2 linked regions of the Lytechinus pictus genome follow. The protein of the gene in region 1 interacts with the protein of each later gene in a pairwise test. Links are inferred from orthologs where the notes say so. Each region holds a gene or a part of one and is shown on either strand. Other genes may lie near its edges.

Evidence for each region.
Region 2: the proteins of anaphase-promoting complex subunit 2-like (region 1) and anaphase-promoting complex subunit 11-like interact in a two-hybrid assay, tested with the Drosophila melanogaster proteins (2 studies listed by BioGRID). The link is inferred for Lytechinus pictus from reciprocal best matches to the Drosophila melanogaster genes mr and lmgA.

Annotation. Positions count from the first base shown.
Region 1 is NC_087259.1:2,283,013-2,292,095, forward strand, and holds the start of anaphase-promoting complex subunit 2-like, read left to right. Parts: upstream 1-4,141; 5' UTR 4,142-4,155; coding exon 4,156-4,230; intron 4,231-8,263; coding exon 8,264-8,847; intron 8,848-9,083. Other genes in the region: endoplasmic reticulum transmembrane helix translocase-like, read right to left, coding at 3,688-3,942.
Region 2 is NC_087249.1:3,773,205-3,782,027, reverse strand, and holds the start of anaphase-promoting complex subunit 11-like, read left to right. Parts: upstream 1-5,054; 5' UTR 5,055-5,142; coding exon 5,143-5,183; intron 5,184-8,823.

The sequences.
Region 1 (9,083 bases):
TATTTTGATAAATAAGTGAATATTTGACCTGAAAAGATGCCTCAAACAGAATTTTCTTCCTCTATTTTCACTTGCGAATTGTGCAAAATTTTGTGTTTTCGGCACAAACATTATTTATATCATCAGAAAGCTCAAATTCTATACTTTCTTACAATGTCACTCTTGATATGTGGCATCTTTTAGATGGGTCAGCAGCCAGCTTTTTCCATCAAGATGCAAGACGAGATTTCTGAATTTTTTGAGTAGCATAAAATCCAGAGTTCTGATTGGCTGAATAATGTTTTCAAAACAGGCGAAGGTATTATTTGAAGAGATAAGGCCTGGGGAACATTGGAATTTGCGTGGGTGTGTGGTCTCTATGACCAATCAGAGCGCAGTATTCTTGTTTTTGAGCTGGTAAATGTACTTGGCCTATGAAAAGCTGGCTGCTGACCCATCTAAAATACCTCTTCTTTTAAAAATTATATCATATTAAAGCTTAGATCTTCAGCTTTATCATAATCTAAAAATCATTTGGGCTCAAACAGAAATTATGTGGAAAAATAACAACTTTTGTTGCATGAAAATAATTACTTTCTATTGTGTTTTAGATCAAAAGTTTCACCTATATTACACAATCTTTTTAAAAATCCAAACACATGACCTGAAAGAATGATTCTTCTTCTTTACAAAGATACCAAAAACATGAAATTTTGTCAATATTTAGAGCACCAATAACCGGTGTGTTGGCTCAGTTGGTAGAGCGTCCGTCTCACAACCGGGAGGTCGGGGGTTCAAACCCCGGCCGCGTCAGACCAAAAGACGTTAAAAGATGGGAGTTGCTGCTACCCTGTTTGGCGTTCAACAATTAAAGGGATAGAGCCTCGTCGATCTGGCGCTGCACAGTGGCTGCCGGGCCCACGATCAATTGGGCAAAACAAATTTTCGGAGTAATTCATTTCTGGTGTCTATTTTGAACTACATGTATAAAATATGGATTTTAAGATTTTTTTTTTGAAAGATAAAAAGAGGCACCAAGCTCATTAACAATGCAAAAACCCTCTAGTCATGAATATCACCTAGATAAAAGAAGCTACTTTTTCAGGGCTTGCCGCTTGACTGGACACACAACCTGTCCGGACGCACGACCACTGGTAAGTGCTATAGAGTGAGTGATTGTATTACCGACCGGCTTGTATTACCAAACGCGCGCATCATACGCGTCAGTATATCATTTCATCCACTCAAAACTTTGCAACATCCTTCCAAACAGAACTTGAATAGAAAGATGATGAAAAATTGTCAAAATCACATTTTCAAAAGTCTTAATATTCTAAAAATAATAAAATATGGTCAAAATAGCTCATCAGTGATTTTGTTGTTTTCTCAATTATAGAAAACACACATTCGGTAATACGATACCTTTTTCAAGTGACCAAAATATTTCACATGCGAAGAGGGGTCAGATTGGCAGCAGAGGCGCACGGCCAATATTGGAGACTGTCTCCCATGAGAGAGATTATCTCCAATATCGGAGACTTTTGTAAAGAATTTGGGTATCCAATTTCAGAGACAGTCTCCAGTTTGGGAGGCCAAATTCCTTTGTTTACATTTGCTTCAAAAGGATTACCTTGGCGGCAAATAAAAATGTGATAAGCAGATTCCTCATAAAAAATTACCGTAAGTAACGGTGTATTAACCGCACCTTTTTCTCGGCGGGATATAAGCAAAAGTCGGGGGTGCGGTTTATACACGGTGACGGGTCTGAGCCCGCCCGCGTAGCCCCTCCCGAACATGTAAGAAGTCTGCCAGTTCACAACACATCGAGTGGCCGGCCGTAGCCGCCCAGTGCAATGTCGTTTAGAGGGGTATGAGCCGCGGGTAATGGGTAGCGATTATTATGATCTTATGATCAAATACTGTCGTAACAAATGCACCCACCTTCATGACACTAATTTCGACTTTATTCTCGATTCAAAGCAGCAAAGTTCCCTGGCTAAGTTCATAGAGACGCCAAGCATTCTCGGTGATAATTTGTCACAGCTGAGCGAGAGCCAAGAGCTAGCGCTAGCTTGCGTTGTATTTTGGTTTTAGTGCGACTTAAGCTGGCGCTATTCATTTAATTTAACCCCTCAAAGTCCCGTTTCGCGCCAGCTTATTTTTTTCTTTCCCGTTTGCTTTTCATAAGATACCATGTACACCGTGCACCACGCACGATAGAGACGGCACAAAGCCGTCAAACAACTGGAAAAAATACAAATTTCTTTGTTTCTTGAACCTTCCTGTAATCCCGTATCCAAAATTCATGCTAAGACATCGAATGCTAGACAAATTCTGAAAGTGATTGTGAGGTTGTGATGCAAGAAATGTGAAAGACACAGATCACAATTTGATAAGATGTACTGGTAGTGGTACCGTATCGAAGTTTGAAATGTACATGTACAAGAAAGGCAGTGCTGTGTGTGTGTACACTGTGCTGTGACTGTGAGGTGAGTGAGTGTGTAAATTGCCAATATTGGCGGGACCTTTCTTTCTTGCTAACATTTGTAGATGAATTGATCAAGAACAGCAGATTTCTGCACACTGGTAATCTCTTTGAATACTTTGAAATCTTTAACTTAGTTTTTGTTTCTTCGTACCTCAAATATGCATGTAAATGTGAGGTTTTTTTTTTTTTTTTTTTTTTTTTTTTTTTTTTTTTTTTAGTCCAAAGTTGGGGGTGCGGTTTATACACGGGTGCGGTTAATACACCGTTACTTACGGTACCCCTTTTCACCGTCTACTTTAAAAATTCACCGTCTACTTTTGTTTTGATAAGGATTTTTGTTGTCATCCACACACAAAACAAATGGGCTTCTGACCTCAGCGGGACAAAATTTTGGGTGGAAAAAATTATGCTTTTAATTTTGTTGGTGTCGTTTCTTTTGTTCTTTTGCAAAGCAAGTCTCTAATATGGGAGATTATCTTCCACATTGGAGAGAGTCTCCCATATTGGCCGTGCACCTGTACTGATTGGAAGCTAATATCGTAAAAAAGAAAAAAGATTTTAGCAAAATTTTTACATATTTATATTTTGTAGGTACGGTAATTGTGTATCTATATATTTTTTTATGAGTATGGTGAAAGATTGATGAATTTTATGACAATAATGTGTTTGATATGATTGAATTCATAGAAAAGTGTTCGATAATACAATCCACTACAAAGTACAGCTTGCGCTTGCTGGTTAGTGATAATTAGGTCGGTCGCACATGCGCAGATAGTTTTCAGTTACCGTCCAGGGGCCGATTGCACGAAAGGGTCTTTCCAAGGACCGTCTTTCGTGTCGCCCATCTTTTATGATGCGCTATAAGCAGGGTGGTGTTTCTGAAATTTATGATGAACAAATAAAATTCGTAAGCTTGCTTTTAAATCAAATTTTATAAAATTTCATGAGATATCAGATCATTTTATAAACAAATATTTTGTTTATTTTAACGGACAAATAAAATATAGGCCTATTTGCAGATAATTTATTTGAAATGCGTTTCACATGGCGTATCATAAAAGATGGGCGACACGAAAGACGGTCCTTGGAAAGACCCTTTCGTGCAATCGGCCCCAAGATTTCTCCCGTCGGCCGTCGCAGATTGAAAGCCCTGCCGCGCCGCGGCCCCAACCGGCGCCGGGCTCCTCCGGCGGCGAGGCAGAGCTCGTTGATTTACGTACCTTCCTGCATGTGAGCGAACACCTCACGTGTATTGACCAATGGCAGAACAAGCAGACCAAAATTTGGACACATCCTATGGCTGCTAAAACGATCAATCCAGCTTCCAAATATTCACTGACCCCATAGGCAACCACCAAAAGATATAGCCATGCAATGTATATAAATATAAATGGGAAAATATATCCATGGAGGACTAAGGGCCGCAAATTATATGAGGTGACACTCTCAATTTTTTCTTCCATGGAAGGTGCCATATTGGAAAAAGGTACAATGATTACAATTCACTTGTTAATATGATTAGATTTTATTTTTTTAATACCAATATATTGATCAATTTGTCATTCTCAAAAAATACTAAAGAATATATATATTATTTTCAATCTGAAAATATAGTTTATGAATTATTTACTTGAAATTTTGATTGCTTCATAATATAGACTGAGCGCCAATTTCTGATTGGTTTGAATATGGCTGCATATACTTCAGTCAATTTAGCTTGGGATGAAGTCACAAAATGTCTCTCAAACATCACTTTCCATACGGTGAGACCAATGAAATCGTATTTTATCGTAGATAATTACATGATATCTAGTAATTGTGTGAGATTATTTGATTGAATTGTTGTAGAAAGATATAAATTGTGATCAAACAATGGCTTAAATGTCACTTGATAAAATCCTGCCAGAACTTAGACATGGAAGAGCTCGGGCTCATCTTCGGGGTCGGGCTGTATGGGGGAGCGACCGGGCTGAGCTGTGGCTGTGCGGACGAGCTTATCTTCTGCCGGCTGCGTACTCTGCCAGCCAAGACTCAACTTCTAAACTTGAGTCAAGAGCCCCGAGTTCCATATTTATGATGAATGATTTAAAAACAACTATGATCTACTATAGCTAGGCCCCAGATCAGGGTTGGGCTCAATTACAATTTTTACAAAGCAAAGCAATTCATGAATTAGATCTAGATCTAAAGCCAAACTAGGGAAAGTAATAAGTTAGTAATTGAAAAATTGTTTGACTTCAATTACTGTCGATTACTTTTAATCCGGGCTTATGATTAGATCTACTTTCAATTACATTGTCTTTATTAGGCCTAGATCTACTTACTTTATTATTTAATTTACTCTGGATTGCTTATTTCTCTTTTCCCATAGCTATAAAAGTAATATCTTTTGCATGCAACTGTAGGCCTATCCTTTCCCATTAATATGTAGAGGAAAGAGGAGACACTTGACCATTTGAAATATTTGAGAAATTTTGCAAAAGGTCATACTCATAGGTTCCAACAAGAATTGAGAAATCAAACTATGTAATTTTTCATATTAGCAAAGCTACATTTCTTATATTATAATTTCATGCAGTGGCCTCATTTGTTTGTAACAATAAATGTTAGATGTTAAATCTGTATACTTAAATTTGGAATAGCCTACCCCCCTCAAAAAAAAAAAAAATCAGCTTTAAGTGGGTGATTGCGAAAAATGTGGATGAAAAATACTTTTTTTACTGCCCCCTCCCCTATAGGTGAAAGCTGGATCCGCCCTTTGCACGACTCAAAGTCAAGTTTACATGTTGTACATTATGATTTCTACATATGAAGAAAGCATGCAGATCTACATTTTATTGAGAATTTCAATTGAAACAGAGCAATAGGCAGGATCAATGCTCTCTAAACTAATAAAACCTTCATGTCAGTTTCTCTCTAACTTATAATTATGTTGAAATGGGTGGCACTACATTTAAAATATGAATTGATTTCATTTATGACTTTATTAAAAGTAATTGAAATTGTAATTGATAAAAGTAATTGGTAATTGTAATTGAAGAAAGTTATTGAGCCCAACTCTGCCCCAGATGCGTAGACGTAGACTTAATTAATATCCTTGGCAAGGGCTGGGCAAGGCCGCTTAACTTTAAACAAGGACAAAGACTGATGTGATGCCGTGGCAAAGATAATTAAATCATCATCATCATTGTACAGAAGAAGTAGGTAATCCTGTATTAGTGCTTCCGATCATTCCTTTGAGATTACTTTTACTGGTTTTTAAAAACAACTGATTAACGTGTGTGGAGGGTGGACATAGCCAGGAGGCTCCTAGAGAGTAAAAATCATTCACTAACGTGTGCTCTCCACGGAGTCGGGGATTGCGTCCCATTCATGTGCTTGTACCACAAAAAAAATTGAAATTTTCGCCCCCAGAATTCCTACTTTCCTTCTAAGATCTAGCCTTAAATCATGTAAATGGGATACAACTTCATTTCCGACATTTATACGATATTGATTCCATTTTTGTCTCACCTGCATAGCAGAGTGAGACTATAGGCGCCGCTTTTCCGACGGCGGAGACGTCAACCCCAAATCTTAACCAAAGGTTAAGTTTTTGAAATGACAGCATAACTTAGAAAGTATATGGACCTAGTTCATGAAACTTGGCCATAAGGTTAATCAAGTATTACTGAACATCCTGCCTGAGTTTCATGTCACATGACTAAGGTCAAAGGTCATTTAGGGTCAATGAACTTAGACCATGTCGGGGGAATCAACATCAAAATCTTAACCTAAGGTTAAGTTTTTGAAATGTCAACATAACTTAGAAAATATATGGACCTAGTTCATCAAACTTGGCCATAAGGTTAATCAAGTATTACTGAACATCCTGCATGAGTTTCACATCACATGACCAAGGTCAAAGGTCATTTAGGGCCAATGAACTTTGGCCAAGTTGGGGGTATCTGTTGAATTACCATCATAACTTTGAAAGTTTATGGATCTGATTCATGAAACTTGGACATAATAGTAATCAAGTATCACTGAACATCCTGTGCAAGTTTCAGGTCACATGATTAAGGTCAAAGCTCATTTAGGGTCAATGAACTTTGGCCAAATTAGGGGTATTTGTTGAATTACCATCATAACTTTGAAAGTATATTGGTCTAGTTCATAAAACTTGGACATAAGAGTAATCAAGTATCACTGAACATCCTGTGCGCCTTTCAGGTCACATGACCAAGGTCAAAGGTCAATGAACTTTGGCCATAATGGGGGTATCTGTTGAATTACCATCATAACTTTGAAAGTTTATGGATCTGACTCATGAATCTTGGACATAAGAGTCGTCAAGTATCAGTGAACATCTCAGTGAGTTTCAGGTCACATGACCAAATTCAAAGGTCATTTAGGGTCAATGAACTTTGGCCATGTTTTTTTTTTTTGTTGAATTACCATATCTCTGTAAGTGTATTGGTCTAGATCATAAAACGTGGACATGAGAGTAACCAAGTATCACTGAACATCTTGTGCGAGTTTCAGGTCACATGACCAAGGTCAAAGGTCAATGGATATTGGCCATGTTGGGGGTATTTGTTGTCAAATTACCATCATAACTCTGTAATTTTATTGGTCTAGTTCATAAAACGTAGACATAAGAGTTCACATGACCAAACTCAAAGGTCATTTAAGGTCATTGAACTTTGGCCATTTTAGAGGTAATTATTAGATTGCTGTCATAACTTTCAAAGTTTATATAACTGTATAAAATGTGGATATAGGGGTAATCAAGTATCACTGACAAGTTTTAGGTCACATCAAGGTCAAATGTCAATGAACGTAGTATTGTATCATATGAATGGGTTCTTTTTGTGAATAATTATTAAAAGGTTGTTTTTCAAAGTCAGCACTGCTGCTATATTGAATCGCGTGATGCAGGTGAGACCGCCAGAGGCATTCAACTTGTTGAACAAAAAATTCATTAAAAAAAACGAGAGAAATATCGCGAGAAGACTGGGGAAAACCTTGCCAATGTTTACGTCGCCATCTTGTTCTCTTTTGTCCTTCGCCAAGCTACAAGATGCATATCAGAGGATGTGCGTCTTGTTAGCACTAACAATGCGCTAACAGAGGCCCTGTTTCAACTGGTTATGTGGTAGCGATGGCAAATGTTACAACAATACATTACTTGTAAACACAAATAAATATTTTGACTTCACAATCTGAAAGATGTGACTGGGCTTACTGTTAGCGCTATGTAAGGCTAACAACGTTTCTGTGAGGCCGGCACTGGAGCTCACCGTTGAACAACAACACAAAAATATTCACCAAGATTATAATGAAAGAAAAGTATTTCTGTTATTGAATAGATCCATATTATTGTCAAAATACTTTTTTTTAAGTGTTGTGTTGCAAATAGACAAGGTGGTTGCAGACTTCAAGTGAAATGCGAATGGGTTTCTGACGTGACTGTAGACTGAAACAGACATGAAATTTTAAAAAAAAATCCCCCGAAGACAGTTATTCTAATATGACCTCAATCTTAGACAAAATTATGTTTGGGAGAAAATTGCCTTGGTAATGATGCAGTATCTTGTTTTCTTTTGTAAAGCAAATATGGGAGATTGTTTCCCATATTGGCCACGCATCTCTGTTGATGGTCTGTAGATGATAGATCTAGACCTTGTATATAAAAAGAAGAAAATTCCCTTTAAGAAAACAAACAATGAACTAAATGGCAAGTGCTGCTCATAGAGAGAATTAAAAATAAATACTTCCTGAGGAGTGCTAATGACTTTTTTTTTCCATTTACAGGATGATGATGATGGGAGGGATGCAAGGATCAAGCCGGCGATGGAGTTCCTGCAGGACCAAGGATTAGGGACCCTTGTTACGGAATGGTTCATGGAGACCTTCCAGCAAGATCTACAGAGCAGGATTGCGCCAAACTACTGGTCAACCTTCAAGATTGACGACACTTCGTCCACAACGCTCTGCTTGGATTGCCTCACCCGTGGAATAAACATTCTCCACTCCTCTCTCATTCCATACACCAACAGTCTCAATCTGCTTACTGGCTACCTTTCCGTTGAGGGTCAGGATCTTAAAGAGCGCTTTGATGTTCTTGTGAAGGCACTTCTCTTCTATCGCACTCCAATGCACTTTTCTGAAGTCGTGAAAACTGTATACTCATCCGTCTTCAAGGCGTTTAGTGACAGTGATGGCAAGAATGAGCGAATCAGAACGAGCGATGATAGTGAGATGGATATGGATGAGAGTACAGACATTGAGAAGGATGATGAGGAGGAGGAGCAGGAGGAGGGAAGAGACTCAGAACACACAACAGCACCTTCTCACTCTGATACCCTATCAGCTTTTCATCAAATAAATGCACAGTTGTAAGTATTTCTTGATGATATGTTGGATGTTGTCTTGTAGAAACTGATTATGGTTTCTGAGATTCTTTCCCCCTTTCCATGACCTGACATCTTGATGATTGAGAGCTAGTTGTGTGTGAACTGTTTAGTTAGTCTTATGTAAGAGGTTGTATGCATACATTTCAAATTTATACAAAAATTCATGTATATTTGGTAAATAAGCAAAAAGAAAATATTTTAATGGTTCAATATTAGCT
Region 2 (8,823 bases), on another chromosome or scaffold:
GAAGCCAATTCAAAAGGAGGTGAGGCAAGTTTCAATGGAGGTTTTTAAAAAGAATAAACTGTACTACAAATTATATGGTGAAGCCAATTTAAAAGGAGGTGAGGCAAGTTTCAATTGAGGTTTTTAAAAAGAATAAACTGTACTACAAATTTAAAAGGAGGCGAGGCAAGTTTCAATGGAGGTTTTTAAAAAAGAATAAACTGTACTACAAATTATGGTGAAGCCAATTCAAAAGGAGGTGAGGCAAGTTTCAATGGAGGTTTTAAAAAAAGAATAAACTGTACTACAAATTATGGTGAAGCCAATTTAAAAGGAGGTGAGGCAAGTTTCAATTGAGGTTTTTAAAAAGAATAAACTGTACTACAAATTTAAAAGGAGGCGAGGCAAGTTTCAATGGAGCTAGGTTTTTAAAAAAGAATAAACTGTACTACAAATTATGGTGAAGCCAATTCAAAAGGAGGTGAGGCAAGTTTCAATGGAGGTTTTAAAAAAAGAATAAACTGTACTACAAATTATGATGAAGCCAATTTAAAAGGAGGTGAGGCAAGTTTCAATGGAGGTTTTTAAAAAAGAATAAACTGTACTACAAATTTGAAAGGAGGTGAGGCAAGTTTCAATGGAGGTTTTTAAAAAGAATAAACTGTACTACAAATTATGGTGAAGCCAATTTAAAAGGAGGTGAGGCAAGCCTCAATGGAGGTATTTAAAAAGAATAAACTGTATTATGGTGAAGCCAATTTAAAAGGAGGTGAGGCAAGTTTTAATGGAGGTTTTTAAAAAGAATAAACTGTATTATGGTGAAGCCAGTTTAAAAGGAGGTGAGGCAAGTTTCAATGGAGGTTTTTAAAAAAGAATAAACTGTACTACAAATTTAAAAGGAGGCGACGCAAGTTGATCAATAGAGGTTTTTAAAAAGAATAAACTGTATTACAAATTATGGTGAAGCCAATTTAAAAGGAGGTGAGGTAATTAGTTAATGGAGGTTTTTAAAAAGAATAAACTGTATTACAAGTTATGGTGAAGGCAATTTGAGAGGAGGTGAGGCATGTCTACAATGATTTTTTTTAAAGAATGATAAGTGTAGAATATAATTCAAATGATGAAGCCATCTTGAGAGGTGCATGAGGCAAGTCTTCAATGAGGTTTCTAAAAACAATGAATAGTGAAGAGAAAGATCGCAATTGCTTTTAATAATCCACAAAATTGTGTAGTTATTTATTTCATGCAAATTGCTATTAATTGATTATGCTCATTTGTGCATAATTAGTATACTATACCTATTCCTCTAACTCCCTAAATAAAGCTCCAAATGTTCTAATTTTTGGTTTAGAAACTCTTTGTGGTGTTCTTCGATAATGTATTTCTTGTGTTTTTACCTTTGTATTGCATTGTTTTTTTTCAACGATGCTCGATCGGACTCTCGTAACAGATAAAATAAATCAGTTTAGTTCAACAAAACTAAAAACAATTAGGCATTCATGAATTTTGGTTGAAAACGCATATTCCATTGACGTGGTACACAAATATCACAATTTTGAGCCATTTTTGTCTGATATGCACTTACAAATTGTTTGGTAATTTTCAGAACCCAGTACCCGGGCTTCGCAAAACTGGTCTCAAAACATGCAAAAGACTTTTTTTTTAAATCGCAGAGCTCAGAGCCCCCCCCCCCCCCTGCGTAAATAGGTTAAGTTTGCATTAATTTTGAACTTTTCCATTCCCAAATACGTAATATCCCCTCCCCAAAAATGCAATTGTCACTGAAATGGAATATACATAATATATTTTTTAATAAGCCATATTTGCAAAATAATCATCATGTCATCCTTTGTCAACAAGAAATCTGTACATGTCCTCTGGAAGAAAATAATACCTCGGCCGCCTATTAAATTCTAAGTTTTTATTTTGTAAGTATTTTACTTAGCAATTTGGCTTGCTTATCAAAATGCTTAAACTTGTATGCAGATCAGATCTCAGAATTTACCTTATCCAAATTGAACTAAATACTAATACCCATTGTGATGTTATAAATTTTGAGCCAAATAGTGCCAAATGTGTGAATGTATTTCTGTGCGTATCATTTTTGTATATGTAGACTTAAGTCTAGTAGATGGCTGACTTACATTTAAGCAAAATATTTAGCCCAAAAAAAATGCAATTGAATACCAAAGATGGATAAGTATTTTACTTTTGCAAAATACTGAGTAAAATATACTTGAAATTGTGGCTTTAAGAGTAGCATTGAAAACCGGCCCTGTTCCTCATCATCATTATCATCCCACTACCACACCAGTTTCTGCAGCACAAACTTTAACTTTCATAGGTTGAGTCCATTTCAAAGCCAACACTCTCACTTTAACTTTTTTCTCTTATAACATGACGTCCACACACTGCCAATCACATCCTTACAACACCAACTGTCAGAGGACAACAGAACTGCAGTTACCATAGCATTACCCCCAAAACACCACTCAATTTTGAATTGATCCAAGTGAAATATGACTGTGTTGCACAAAAAAAAGCAATGTAGTCATAGTAGATTTTATTGACTTGTACATTCATAAGGCTATGCATATATTTTGAGTAATTGTTGTGTTGTCTTCAGTGATAGTTGGTCCCACTGTGCTTATGGCCAACTTTGGTAAAGGCATACATTGAATAAACTTTTATGTACTGAAAATGATGACAGAATATATGCTAAAAAAATAACATTACAAATGCATGACAGGTAATACAACATATTTCAACATGAACTATTTCACAATTTGCCAACATGACAATAAAAACTAACCTTAAAAAATAGTAGAAGCTGATGTTGGATGGAAAAGAATATTTTTGTCATACAGCTTGAAAGACATTACATATGTATGCCTCACCTCCTTTTAAATTGGCTTCACCATAATTTGTAGTACAGTTAATTATTTTTTTAAAACCTCCATTGAAACTTGCCTCACCTCCTTTTAAATTGGCTTCACCATAATACAGTTTATTCTTTTTAAATACCTCCATTGAGGCTTGCCTCACCTCCTTTTAAATTGGCTTCACCATAATTTGTAGTACAGTTTATTCTTTTTAAAAACCTCCATTGAAACTTGCCTCACCTCCTTTCAAATTTGTAGTACAGTCTATTCTTTTTTAAAAACCTCCATTGAAACTTGCCTCACCTCCTTTTAAATTGGCTTCACCATAATTTGTAGTACAGTTTATTCTTTTTTTAAAACCTCCATTGAAACTTGCCTCACCTCCTTTTGAATTGGCTTCACCATAATTTGTAGTACAGTTTATTCTTTTTTAAAAACCTAGCTCCATTGAAACTTGCCTCGCCTCCTTTTAAATTTGTAGTACAGTTTATTCTTTTTAAAAACCTCAATTGAAACTTGCCTCACCTCCTTTTAAATTGGCTTCACCATAATTTGTAGTACAGTTTATTCTTTTTTTAAAACCTCCATTGAAACTTGCCTCACCTCCTTTTGAATTGGCTTCACCATAATTTGTAGTACAGTTTATTCTTTTTTAAAAACCTCCATTGAAACTTGCCTCGCCTCCTTTTAAATTTGTAGTACAGTTTATTCTTTTTAAAAACCTCAATTGAAACTTGCCTCACCTCCTTTTAAATTGGCTTCACCATATAATTTGTAGTACAGTTTATTCTTTTTAAAAACCTCCATTGAAACTTGCCTCACCTCCTTTTGAATTGGCTTCACCATAATACAGTTTATTCTTTTTAAAAACCTCCATTAAAACTTGCCTCACCTCCTTTTAAATTGGCTTCACCATAATACAGTTTATTCTTTTTAAAAACCTCCATTGAAACTTGCCTCACCTCCTCTTAAATTGGCTTCACCATAATACAGTTTATTCTTTTTAAAAACTTCCATTAAAACTTGCCTCACCTCCTTTTAAATTGGCTTCACCATAATTTGTAGTGCAGTTTATTCTTTTTTTAAAACCTCCATTGAAACTTGCCTCACCTCCTTTTGAATTGGCTTCACCATAATTTGTAGTACAGTTTATTCTTTTTTAAAAACCTCCATTGAAACTTGCCTCGCCTCCTTTTAAATTTGTAGTACAGTTTATTCTTTTTAAAAACCTCAATTGAAACTTGCCTCACCTCCTTTTAAATTGGCTTCACCATAATTTGTAGTACAGTTTATTCTTTTTAAAAACCTCCATTGAAACTTGCCTCACCTCCTTTTAAATTGGCTTCACCATAATACAGTTTATTCTTTTTAAAAACCTCCATTAAAACTTGCCTCACCTCCTTTTAAATTGGCTTCACCATATAATACAGTTTATTCTTTTTTAAAACCTCCATTGAAACTTGTCTCACCTCCTTTTAAATTGGCTTCACCATAATATTCAGGTAAGGTATATTCATTCTTTTTTTTAAAAACATATCATTGTTCACTTCCCTCACCTAGATCATTTGGCTATATATAATACCTTTTATTCTACACTATTCTTCCCTTTAAAAAACCTGATTGTACTCCTGCCTCCCCTGATCTGACATTTGCCTCTCAACGTACTGGAAATAGATACCCTTTTTTCAATATTTTTGTGTTTTTGACACCCTTATCACGTTACGTACGTAACGTGCCCTCTCTTGAAAAAGACATCCTTTTTACGTGTTTTTTTTGGTCGCGCATGGTATCCACTCGTCAATGTAAGTGGCCCCCCGGGCGTACTGTACATAGTGTTATTTTATTATCTCTTTATATCGGAAACTTCGTTTTACCGAATTGCCATGCACTCTCTCCGACGCGTTTGAAGTCTTAGACAGCATGGCATACTACCAGCCGATGGTACACACACGCACACACACACACGTTATTTGACAACTTGTCTCTGGAGCCAAAGTTCCTCGCATATAACTATCTGCATGCCTGCACGCAGTGTGTATTGAACACGCACGACCACGATCTAATGAATATTCATCGGCGAGACTGACGTCATTTTACGAGTCTCCTTTCAAACTTGGATCATAAGTGCCTACCAATTTTCAAACGGATCACGAGCGAAGGTTCCGCCGATAGCTAGCTAGCCGCGCCGACTTCCAGCGCGCAGCGATCGATCGCAAGTGTACCGGTACCTGGGATTGCTCAAGACAGGGAGTCAAATCCGTTCTTAACGTTAAAGACAAAGATGAAAGTCAAGGTGAAAAGTAAGTTACATCACAAGCCATGGTATCCCGTAAGAATAGTCTGACTGAGCCGCATAAAGCTAGCCTACCCTCGGCTCAATTCAAGTCTAAATCGTCATGTCTCATGATGACCGTGTGTCCAGTTCGCCGGTTTGCAGCATACACCACCCGTTCGCTCGCCCGTTGTTGTCGATGTCGGGCTGCTTCGGCATGGAAGTCTGTAGCGTAGGGCTAGGCCTCTGCCACGTAACGGCCTCAATCAACTCAGCGGAGCGCGCCATTGAAACTAGCCTAGGCCTTCTCCTCTCGCCAAGCAATCTTGTAAGCAACACTTGTAAGCATCGCTTTGCTCCCTCTCCAAAATGTCTGCGATATTAAAATCCTTAAAAAAATGCTAAAAACAATGGAATCGTCATTATCGTTGAAATTTAGTAAGGCTAAGTATGAGTGATTATGACTGAGTATGAATATGACTTAGACAGCTGGCAGCCGTCTGTTTCGAGGAGTTTTTTAACATTTTTTTATTTTTTAAATTTCTCCTCATACACAGATGGCTCGCTATCGTGCAGCCACCATTAGGGGACTTACAATGCAAAATCCCCCCGTCGGGGCTCTTCAATTTTTGTCTTTAATGAATCAAACTTTTGAAAATTAACGCGACCGAAATGCAAATTAACATTCCCTCTTGGCATTAATTGCGAAAAAACGGGGAAAATCAAGTTAAAAGGAACAAAAACAGTGACTTACCTCGGCTGTCGCGCAACTTCACTGCCCTGTTTTATCCATACTTAAGGACGTTCCACAGTTAAAGTGAAATCCATGTCATTTTCACCAAACTTTGCACATAGATACTTTAGAACCTTACTATTCGAAATGTGCAAAATACAACATAGGTCCATGTGCTTGATTTTTTGCTATAGAGCTTCAAAGTTCACCCAAATTGATGTTCTTAAGAATTGCGCATTCGAAAGAATTTGGCATTTTTAGACCGCCCAAGATTACTACAATGAGTTTAAACCTCTATTACTCAGTCAAAATACATGAAAAAGTCATCAAATTTCGCAAGAGAGTTAATAATTGTATCGTTAGAATGGATAATCTATTTATAGTGCTATTTGTTTGCAATTTTAAGTTTAACAGCACTGTCAGTTCTTAAAAATGGGGTAAAAGATAACAAAATCCCAATCTAAAAAATGTGAAATTTTTAGTAACAAACTACAAAAGTACAATAAATGCTGCACTTTATTCAAAATCCATGTCATTTTCACCAGAATTTGCAGAGTTGTAGAGGAAGGTATACCTAAGAGGTACAAACATTAAAAAATAGGGGTTCATGTGCTTGTTTTTAAACTATCAGCATTTTTATTAGAGCAAATGTGCTTTTTAAAACACCAAAAATGCGCCGAATGCTTTGTATCTATGTGAAGAAAAAATCAAAACCACTATACCATTCATTCAAACTCGGTTTAATATTCGTGATTCTTGGCAGCACTGCAGAGTAAAGTATTTTGAAATTGTAGAGAATTTGTTTTTGAATGGTCCATGGAATAATTTCAGTTTTTAGCTTCATGAAATAATGCATCGGATCTGCAGTTAAAGTGCAGAAGATGAGAAAAATCAGCTCATACCCGCAGCTAATTAATCACCTGTTCATCCATTGTGACGTCAGCGCGCAGAGTGTAAACTATGCGCAGATCATAATGCGCACAAACATAACTGTGGAACGTCCTTAACACACATAAACATATGGCCATTGAGTCCCCTGTACAGATCGCGCTAGAACTTCGGTCTCTGTATTTGGTGAGTGAAGCCAACGGAGTTCAGCTGAACAACCAACATAACACTAGAGACCGAAGCTTTTGGTCTAGAATATGACTATGAGTCTGAATATGAATCATAAATGTTTATCATTTACATTACAAACACTTTTCATGAATTCAATCATATCAAACACATTATTCTCATAAAATTCACCAAACTTTCACCATAAATACACAATTACCTACAAAATATAAACATGTAAAAATTTTGCCGAAATCGTTTTTCCCTTTTACGATATTACTATTAGTATTAGCTTCCAATCGAACCCCTCTACACATTAATTTTTTGGTCACTTGAAAAAGGTATCGTATTACCGAAAATGTGTTTTTTCTATGGAAAAAGTTGAGAAAACAACAAAATCACTGATCATGCTGATGAGCTACTTTGAGTTTGACCATATTTTATTATTTTTAGAATATTAAGAGTGAAAAAAGTGTTTTTTACCATTTTTTATCATTTCTATTCAAGTTTCCTTTGGAAGGATGTAGCAAAGTTTGAGCGTATGAAATTATTTTCTGACGCGTACGATGCGCGCGTTCGGTAATACAAGGTCAAGGCCGGTCGGTAATGCAATCACCCACTATACCGAGTTTACAAGCAAATGTGGGAAAGACTTCGAATTATCAGTCATTTTGATGAGTGATACAAACTTCCCAAAATATATTAGCAGAAATTTGATATAAGCCTAACTTTGCAAAATCCTTATTTTTTAATATTTACTTAAATTTTAATACATTGAAAAAGCACTGTAGTACATTTGCTAGAATTTTCCCTAACCATGCTAACTGATAACGTTGGTGGATTTTTTTTCCTAGTTTTTTTAAAGAAATGGCAGGCATTTGAAATCCGGTAAATTTTTGTTATATTTGTAAAAAAAATCATTAGATTCAAATAACTTACTAATTGTTCGCCCGAAGAATGGTTATTTTGTCATATTGTTGTGTAAATAATACATAACAATAAGTCTAAGTAGGAGTGTAGCAATCCTAGTTGAGTAACCTTTTCCGCGATCCCATACTGGTGTCCGGTGGTATATTCCACATATCTTCTCCCCTTGCAATTGACCATTGTTCAGTTTTAGTGTTTAATTTTGACACTTGAACTGTGAAATTGATAGTTTACCGATATATAAAAATGCTGGGAATTTACCTGACACATACATGATTTTATTTTCGAGGATTATTATTTCTTTGCTGAATTACCAAAAGTCAAGTTTAGGTCAAGATTGTGTAACATTGTCTTTATAATGATATAGTTGTCAAGGTTTGGGGAATATTGGTTTGCCCATTATAGTAACCCCAGTCAGTTACTCGCTGTATATTAAACACAAAATAAAGGACATTTCGTACAAAATTATTCCCCGGCCACTTCCACAAACATAATATAGAAGCCAACCCTGCGCCCCCCCCCCCCCCCGGCTCCCATTAGTTCAAATCAAAGCAATATTTACAACAATTTTGAATAATACAACGGCAATATTACCTAGCTCTCGTACGTGATTCTAAAGTATTATCATGGTGAGGAGATAATTAGGGAAGTAAAAGATGTAATATCATCTCTTCCAATGGATGTAGACATAACAAGATCCAAGATGATCTTTGTAGGTTTGTATGGTGGAGTACTGGAGTTTATAATGTGGAGAAGGTTTACAGTTCACCACGTGTAATATGAAGAAGGGAAGGAAATACAGGCAGAAAGATTGAAATGGAAAGACGAGATAGGATGAAAAGAGGAAATTAGAAGTATTCTTTTCGTGAAAGTGAGTGAAGGCCTGAAAAGGACTGTAAACCAGATGAGATGAGCTGAATATGGCTTGAATAGCGATGGTTTGAGTAGTAGCAGGATGAAGTGAAGAGAGGTTA